2 linked regions of the Caenorhabditis elegans genome follow. The protein of the gene in region 2 purifies or fractionates together with the protein of the main gene of each other region. This does not show direct contact. Each region holds a gene or a part of one and is shown on either strand. Other genes may lie near its edges. The genes, in order: R119.3 and nhr-18.

Region 1 (3,922 bases), on a different chromosome or scaffold from region 2:
ACGGAATCATCGATTCCAAGTGTTGTTTAATCTGACGAGCTTCTTCTCCAGAAGCATGATCCCATACAGCACCAGTTCCGTCTCCTTCAATCATTCCAGACACCACACTATTCACGCGGACTCCTTGTTTCGCGGCACTCTGAGCTACGGATTTTGTAAGTGATAGGACACTGCTAGATGCAACTGAGTAGAGACCCATATCGATTGATGGAGTGAAGCCGAAACATGACGTTAGGTAGATGATACTGCCGTTTCTGGAAAAAATCGATTTTTTTTGGACGGGAAATTTTGCCTGCCTACGTGCCTACCTGCCGGCCTATTTTAGCCTATTTTTCATTTTTTTTTTGTTGTTCTATTTTTTTGCCGTTTTTTGGGAATTTCATGATTTCTAGGGTAGGCACGACTTCATGCCTACGTGCCTATCTACCGGCCTAACATTTGATATTTTTTTAGAATTCCATGATTTCTAGGTAGGCAGGTAGGCACGAATACATGCCTGCCTACCGCCTGTTTTTTTGAAATTTTTTTGTGTGAAAAATTAAAATTCATGGGAATGCTTTTTTTTTCAAAATTCAATGATTTTTAATGCAGACCGCGCCTATCTGCCTACCGCCTATTTTTGGCATTTTTTGTGTGCAAAACAAAATCAAATTAGCTTTTTTCTTTTCGTTTTTCTACGATTTTTTCCAAATTTCAAGATTTTTCGGATAGGCACGACTTCCCACCTACTGTGCCTACCTACCTACCGCCTATTTTCGGCATTTTTTGTGAGCAAAAAGAGATCAAATTAGCTTTTTCTCCTGTTTTCTACGATTTTTTTGGGTAGGCACGACTCCATGCCTACCGTACCTACCTACCTACCTCCTATTTTCGGCATTTTTTCTCGTGCAAAAAATCATATTTATGAAAACACTATTATTTTTGTTTTCTGAATTTTTTTTCCAAATTTTGTGATTTCTAGGGTAGGCACCGACTTCATGCCTACGTGCCTACCTACCTACCGCCTATTCTCGGCATTTTTGTGAGCAAAAAATTAACATTCTTGAAAATCCTTTTTTTGTTTTACTACAATTTTTTCAAGTTGCATGATCTCTAGGGTAGGCACGATTTCATGCCTACTTGCCTATCTACCTATTTTTCCCTTTTTTCGTGGTTTAGGTAGGCAGGCATGAGTCAGGCACGAAAATCTAGAAACATAATTTTGATTCTATCGGTAAAATAGGCTTTCAAGACAGTTTGAATTTTTCGAATTTCTACCAGCAAAAAATAATATCTGAAATTTTCGCGGCGAGACCCAAAAACTGACTGAGATTTGGCGAGCGTCGACATAGCGGCTTGCGAAAGACGGAACGGTGTTGTCAGATTGTTGGCGAAAAGCTGAAATTGGTTTTTCGAGGTCAATTTTCCACGTGGAATTCAAATTTCAGCACTCTCGAACCTTATCAAAATCCTCGCCGGATGTCTCAATAATCTCGCCGAGCACCTCATTCTGTGGTGGAACTATAATTAAAGTGTCCAGACCGCCGAGCTTCTCAGCCACTTTCGTGATCAGCTCCTTCCTGTGCTCGGCATTTGCCACGTCTAATGAGAAAGCTGTGACGTCACCTCCAACCTGAATTTATTCCCGAATTTCTCTTTGTCAAGTTCTGAAAATCTGCCTAAACCTTTATATTGTCCTCTGCAACCTTTCCCACACTATTCGGACAGTCTGCGGCGGCGGCGACCTTGTAGCCGGTGAACGCGAGTCTTCTCACGACGGCTTTACCCAGTGTGGACGTTGCCCCGATTACAAGTGCACATGACATTACGCTGAAAGCCCGATGAGGAGGCATATTTATAGATACACCTAGACATCAGGTACATTTATTTGGAAATCCGTAGAAAATAAAGAACATGTGAAAATAAAACAGATCATTTTATTATTTAGAGGGGAGAGGGAGGGGGAGCAAAGTCGCTGACTGAGAACTTTCGAAAACCGGTTAGTTACTCCAGTTGTACGGCTTATTCATGCCATATTTTCCAAGATTTCCACCATTGTGTTGGTATTGAGAATGTTGATTCTGCTGAGCTGCCGGCTTCGATCCAGACATCTTGTCGTAACTCTTGCGCTCGTCATCCTGTCCGTAGAGTTGACGACCTCCAGCGCTGCTTCCAACATTGGGCATCATGTTCATGAATGGAGTAAACTGGTGTGGAGCAGGTGAGTACTGCTGCATGAACAACGACGACAAGTTTGGCTGCTGCATGTAGTTCGTCGCCTGGAACCCTGGTGGTGGTCCAACATTCGACGCCTGCTGTGGCTGCTGATCCCGAGAGCTTTGAGATCCGAACTTATTGAAGTCCATAAGTCCATGAGTCTCTCGTTGTTGACCAGATTGCACTTGTTGCGCAGAAGCAGCCTGTGACAGAGGAGCAGTTGGAAGCAAGCTTGTAAGATCAACTCCCATTCCGTATTGCATAAGAGCAGCAGTATATTGCTCATCTCGAACTCCTGGCATTGGATTGTACATGTTCATGTAGTTGTTCATGTATGGTGCATATGGGAGTTGTTGAGTGAACATCATATGTGGATGCTGTTGTGGATGTCCAGTCGGTTGTGATTGAGCTGGTGGAGTTTGTTGCTGCTGCTGCACTGGCTGTTGTGGGGCTTGTTGCTGCTGCTGCTGTGGCTGGTGCTGCTGAGCAGATTGCTGTGTTGGAAGTGGTCCAGAATTGTTGAACTTGTTCGGCGCCATCCTGTCCGTTGGTTGATATGAAGCGGACGAAGTGTCATAGGACAATCCTCTGTTAGATTGACCATATGACAATGGAGGTGAAGTCGATTTTAAGTTGTAATCGCCGTTAGGAATTGACGTCCTTTCTGGCTGAAAAATAATCGAGAATTAGAATAAATCGTCTTTGCAACAAATTTAACTCACCTCAACTTGTTTCGGCATAATACGAGAAGAGTTAAATATATTTTCACTGGCATTTGAGATCGAGGCAGCGGAGGATTCAGTAGAAGGAAGCTGTGGGCTTGGAGCAGCCTCAACAAATCCAAATGAGTAGTCATGAATGTTCGTTGGTGCAGTTGTGCCAACAAATTCCACTCCAGGATCAGGAATAATCTGGACTGGTGCTGCACTTGGAATTGGAGATAATCCTAGTCCTGGTGCTTCACTCAATCCTATTCCAAGATCCGTCTTCAGTTGAGTGGTCCATGCTTGATTTGGTTCTGGGGTGCTTTGTACATTTTCATCGTGATGAGTCGACACATTAGGCGTCTGCTCCTCAGCCAAAACTGATGATTCACTGAAAATTAAATTTTTAATAATCTAAATACAGGGACAGAACAACTTACTTTTGGAAGAAACCATCTTCTTTCTCCGGCTGATGCGAAGTTTCTGGCTCGAAAAATACTGGCGCTGCTGCTGGCTCTTCTTTAACTGGTGCAACTGACGGAAGTGGAGGTTGTGGGGAGAGACTCCTCCTTGGCGGAGCTGCTGGTTGAGGATTCTGTGCCTGGTGCTTTCGGAGTGCTTCTTTGCGATGGGCAGCTGCTGCTACTGCAGCAAATGAGATCGGTGCCGGCGCAGAAGATGTGGGAACAGTGGCGGTGACGGATTCCTCTACTGGTGGTTGAACTTCGGTGACTGTGGTATCCACTTTAGTCTGATTCTGAAAAAAAAACACGTTTCGTCATTTTCCTTCTTCAAAAAATTCTTACCTCATCAAGATCAGCAGTGAACGCATCTGGCTCAAGTGCTGATGATGGAGCAACAGCTCGAGAATATCCACCTCTGGCGCCACCTCTTCCACCTCGTCCAACATACGGTTTTTCAAATCCTCCTCGAGTCGAGCGTGGTGCTGCTCCTTCCTTATTATCACGGTTATCCCGATTATTATCTCGGCTTTCTCTTGGAGCTCCATTGGATCGCCCGCG
Region 2 (3,922 bases):
TGTGATTATTGCAGGTTTTTTGCATGCGGAAGATATAGAATCTCGATTTGTTTGAAATTCTGAAATTTATAAGTAAAAATACACTAGATTTTGCAGACAACTCACTGCTAATATCCATGCCAACATCTATGCACTTTTTGAGCCGACACTGCTTGCAATTCAGACTGGAATTAGTTTTTGAATTAGTTTAGCGTTGGTTTAAAAACTAACTTTTTATTTTCAAAACTTGCACAATTTCCTCTGGGACAATGGGCCTTTTTTGGGCTCCAAAGTGCAGCTCTTCTGAATTTAAAACTTTTTTCAGAAAAATTGAAACAGTAACAAGAAAACCTGAAAAATGCCGCACATGCTCGACAACTCAGCACACCAAAATGTTTGCCAGAAGTGTTCTGACCGCAAATTTTGCAGGGTCCCGAAAGGAATAAAGATGCGGGCATCTGGAATATATATAGGGCAGTAATTGGCTAAAAATCCAATTCAGATATATAAAATGGTACATAAACGACCATAAATACATAACATTGAGAATTTGAGGTTATGTAAACTTTTTATGTCGCTTCAAACATCTCTGGGTGAGAAAAATCAATTTTCATAATATTAAACACGTCGGCAATTTGTTTCTTCTCAATTCGAATCCTTATATCTGCCTCCAACGTCCTTGTGATTCTCATCAACTGCGTCAGTCGTGACGAATAATTTGCCAACTTCAATTTCTCCACATAATATTTATGCAAGTTGTTTGCCTGAACTTGCACTAAATTTTCAGTAGCATCCAGTGCATCTCCATGTAATCGTTTTCCTGCGTGCTCCAGAGAAAGATGTAGGAGCATGTAACTGACTTCAATGCTGCTGGGATTCAAATCGATCATATCCTGTATCGACTGTTGGAAGTTTTTCTTACCATTCGGTGTTTGAAAAAAGCTGGAAACATCTATTAGGACTCAACGCAACAACAAGGCAACACTCACTATTTCAGCTGCTCCAACGAATAATTCGTGCACCAAGATAAATCAATCTCGAAGTTGTTCATATTCATACATGCACCATTACCGACCATCAACTGCGATTTACCGAGCATTTTGTTAATCTGCTTGTTAGCCGTTTCCGATAGCTTATCCAACCGTGTCCAGGAGAACCAACATGACTTTACAATTTCCAACTGAATACAATTTTCTTTTAATTAACTTTAGACAGTAAAAATAAAATTCTATTATAGAACTCACCTTCAAACGTTCATTCAATTCTCTGAATTCTGAAAAATTGGAAAACCATTCCACAACTCGAAGAAATCCCTGTTCCCAAGATTTCAAAGTTTCTACTTTTCCATATTTTTCGATAAATTTTACTTCCTTGTTCGATTCGACACATCGCATGTTGTCGAGCGTTGTGGCCAGTTGTTCAAGACTGTTTGAGGGCAAAACATGGTTTGTTGGCTGAAACGCTACCTTGAATTCTTTTCAAAAAAATTATATGCAGAGCGGGAGTTGGGTACAGTAGGCCTTTCACGAGGGCGCTCGCCCCACGCCATAGCCTTTCCCATGCGCATAACTATTATAATACCGCGCCGGACTCTGCAGCGTCAGCTGCAGTACACAAGGTGTACTGCGCGGTGTACACTTTTCATGCCTCGCCGAAAGTCTGACCATGGATACGGGGGGCTTGAAATCGTGACCTCAAGATTGCTAGCTGCGACCACTACCGTCTGAACCATTCCAGCTCCTCTGCACCACCTGCTATTTTCTGATTTTTGCATACCTTCTGCAACATGTCCCTTGCGATATTCACTAAACGAGTAACGTCTATTGTTGTCTTCAACACTGATGCTCTGTCTGGCTCGCAGCACAAAATGAACTCGGGTCGACCGAGAAATGTGGCCAAAGACTGAGAAATAGCAGAACACGAAATAAGGTCTCGATCTGTCTGGAATCCTGAAATCAAACGTATAGTGATTTTTAAACATTGAACTTTTGACTCACTTCTAGTATCCATGCCTACATCTAAACACTTTTTTAGTCGGCATTGTTTGCAGTTGAATCTGCAAATTATTAATTTTTAAAATTTGCTGTAAAACTTGAAAAAAAATTTCCTTACTTTCCATTAACGCTAGTATGACAGGTTCCGTTTGGGCATATCCTCTTTTCTAGGTTCCATGTTGCTGCTCTTCTGTAAATTTTGTTCTTAAATAATTATTTTACAAAAGCTGCAAACCTGAAAAATGCGGCACAAGCCCGACAACTCATTACTCCAAAGTGTCTTCCGGAAGTTTTGTCCCCGCAAACTTCACAGGATCCCGAGAGGAATAACGGTGCGGGCATCTGAATAATATTTCGAAAGAAAATAATTTTTTTTGCGCTGAAATTCAAATAATTACATTAAATATTCAAAGTGTTATATTATACATATGAGTACACTTTCGTTGATAAAGTAAAAAATTAACAAAAAAACGGTTAGCTTTCAATTTTTATGCAGAGGATCTTAAGTCGTTTCAAACATTTCTGGATGGGAAAACTGAATTTTGAAAATATTAAAAACATCTGCAACTTTCTTCTTTTCAATTCGAAGTCTCATGTCTGCCTCCAAAGTCCTAGTTATCTTCATCAATTGTGTCAATCTTGACGAGTAATTTGACAACTTCAATTTCTTCGCGTAATAATCATGCAATTGATTTGCCTGGGCTTGAACTAAACTTTCAGTAGCCTCCAGTATATCTCCCTGCAATCTTTTTCCCGCGTGCTCCAGAGAAAGCTGCAGGAGCATGTAGCTGATTTCAGTGCTACTTGGGTTGAGATCAACCATATCTTGTATCAACTGACGGTAGTTCTTCTCGTCGTCCGGGGTGAGGAAAAAACTGAAAATCCGATTTTAAGATTTGTGAGTGATACGCATAGCCCGACATTTAACGGGTTAGTGTTTTGGAACCCGGTAGATGTCGCTCAGAACTCACAAGGCCAATTGCTCCAACGAATAATTCGTACACCATGATAAATCAACTTCATAATCATTCATATGCATGCAAGAATCATTTCCAACCATCAAAAGCGAGTTGTCGAGAGTTGCGTTCACCCGTTTGTTAGCAGTTTCCGATAGCTTATCCAACCGGATCCATGAGACCCAGCAAGTTTTTAAAATTTCCATCTGAAAAAAAATACAAAAAAGTTAGTAACCTTATATGCTAAAAGTTAAGAACCTTTAAGTTCTCATCCAGTTCCCGAAATTCTGAAAAATTGGAGAACCACTCCACCGCTCGGAGAAACCCTTGTTCCCAGGTTTTGAGAGATTCGTTCTTTCCAAGCTTCTTGATAATTTGTGTTTCTTTGTTCAACTTCATTCCTCGCATATTTTCAAGTGTAGTAGAAAGTTGTTCAAGGCTGTTAGACAAAGGGCATTGACATGGATCCTGAATATATAGAAAAATGCCCGGGCGACGTGTGACACAGGTGCCCCACCCCCATTTTTTTCAGAAACGACCGCTAGACCGCTAGATGTCGGACGCTACACACTCACCTTTAATTTCACATGTTTTCTCGTTTTTGCCTACCTTTTCGAGCAGATTCTTTGCCATATCTACTAAATACGTAACATCTATTGTAGTTTTGAAAACTGAAGCTTTGTCTGGCTCGCAGCACAAAATGAACTCGGGGCGTCCTAGAAAATTGCAAAGGGACTGAGGAACTGAGCAGGAAGATATCAAGTCCCGATTTGTTTGGAATTCTGAAATTTTTTGGTGTATTTTTTTACTGTTTGGGAACTTGCTAGCTTACTTTTAGAGTCCATGCCGACTTCTACGCACTTTTTAAGTCGACACTGTTTGCAATTGAATCTGCAAAAAGCAACTTTTTCTTTCAATTTCCAAAATCTAGCCTCACTTTCCATCCTCAAAAATTTTACAGGTCCCTTTCACGCATTGTACTTTTTTCCGGCT

What was found.
Region 1: the proteins of nhr-18 (region 2) and R119.3 fractionate together in Caenorhabditis elegans (co-fractionation; one large-scale study listed by BioGRID). This does not show direct contact.

What each region holds. Positions count from the first base shown.
Region 1 is NC_003279.8:377,265-381,186, forward strand, and holds the start of R119.3 (DeHydrogenases, Short chain), read right to left. Parts: upstream 1,810-3,922; 5' UTR 1,806-1,809; coding exon 1,665-1,805; intron 1,613-1,664; coding exon 1,439-1,612; intron 1,378-1,438; coding exon 1,307-1,377; intron 255-1,306; coding exon 1-254. Other genes in the region: Prion-like (glutamine/asparagine-rich) domain bearing protein pqn-59, read right to left, coding at 1,980-2,864, 2,919-3,291, 3,341-3,657, 3,707-3,922.
Region 2 is NC_003283.11:2,225,596-2,229,517, reverse strand, and holds nhr-18 (Nuclear hormone receptor family member nhr-18), read right to left. Parts: upstream 2,316-3,922; coding exon 2,209-2,315; intron 2,164-2,208; coding exon 2,092-2,163; intron 2,036-2,091; coding exon 1,977-2,035; intron 1,929-1,976; coding exon 1,756-1,928; intron 1,434-1,755; coding exon 1,224-1,433; intron 1,160-1,223; coding exon 969-1,159; intron 922-968; coding exon 549-921; 3' UTR 541-548; downstream 1-540. Other genes in the region: nhr-126 (Nuclear Hormone Receptor family), read right to left, coding at 1-59, 106-164, 211-282, 331-437; Nuclear hormone receptor family member nhr-103, read right to left, coding at 2,476-2,848, 2,945-3,135, 3,188-3,397, 3,539-3,711, 3,762-3,820, 3,867-3,922. UniProt on the Caenorhabditis elegans protein: Orphan nuclear receptor.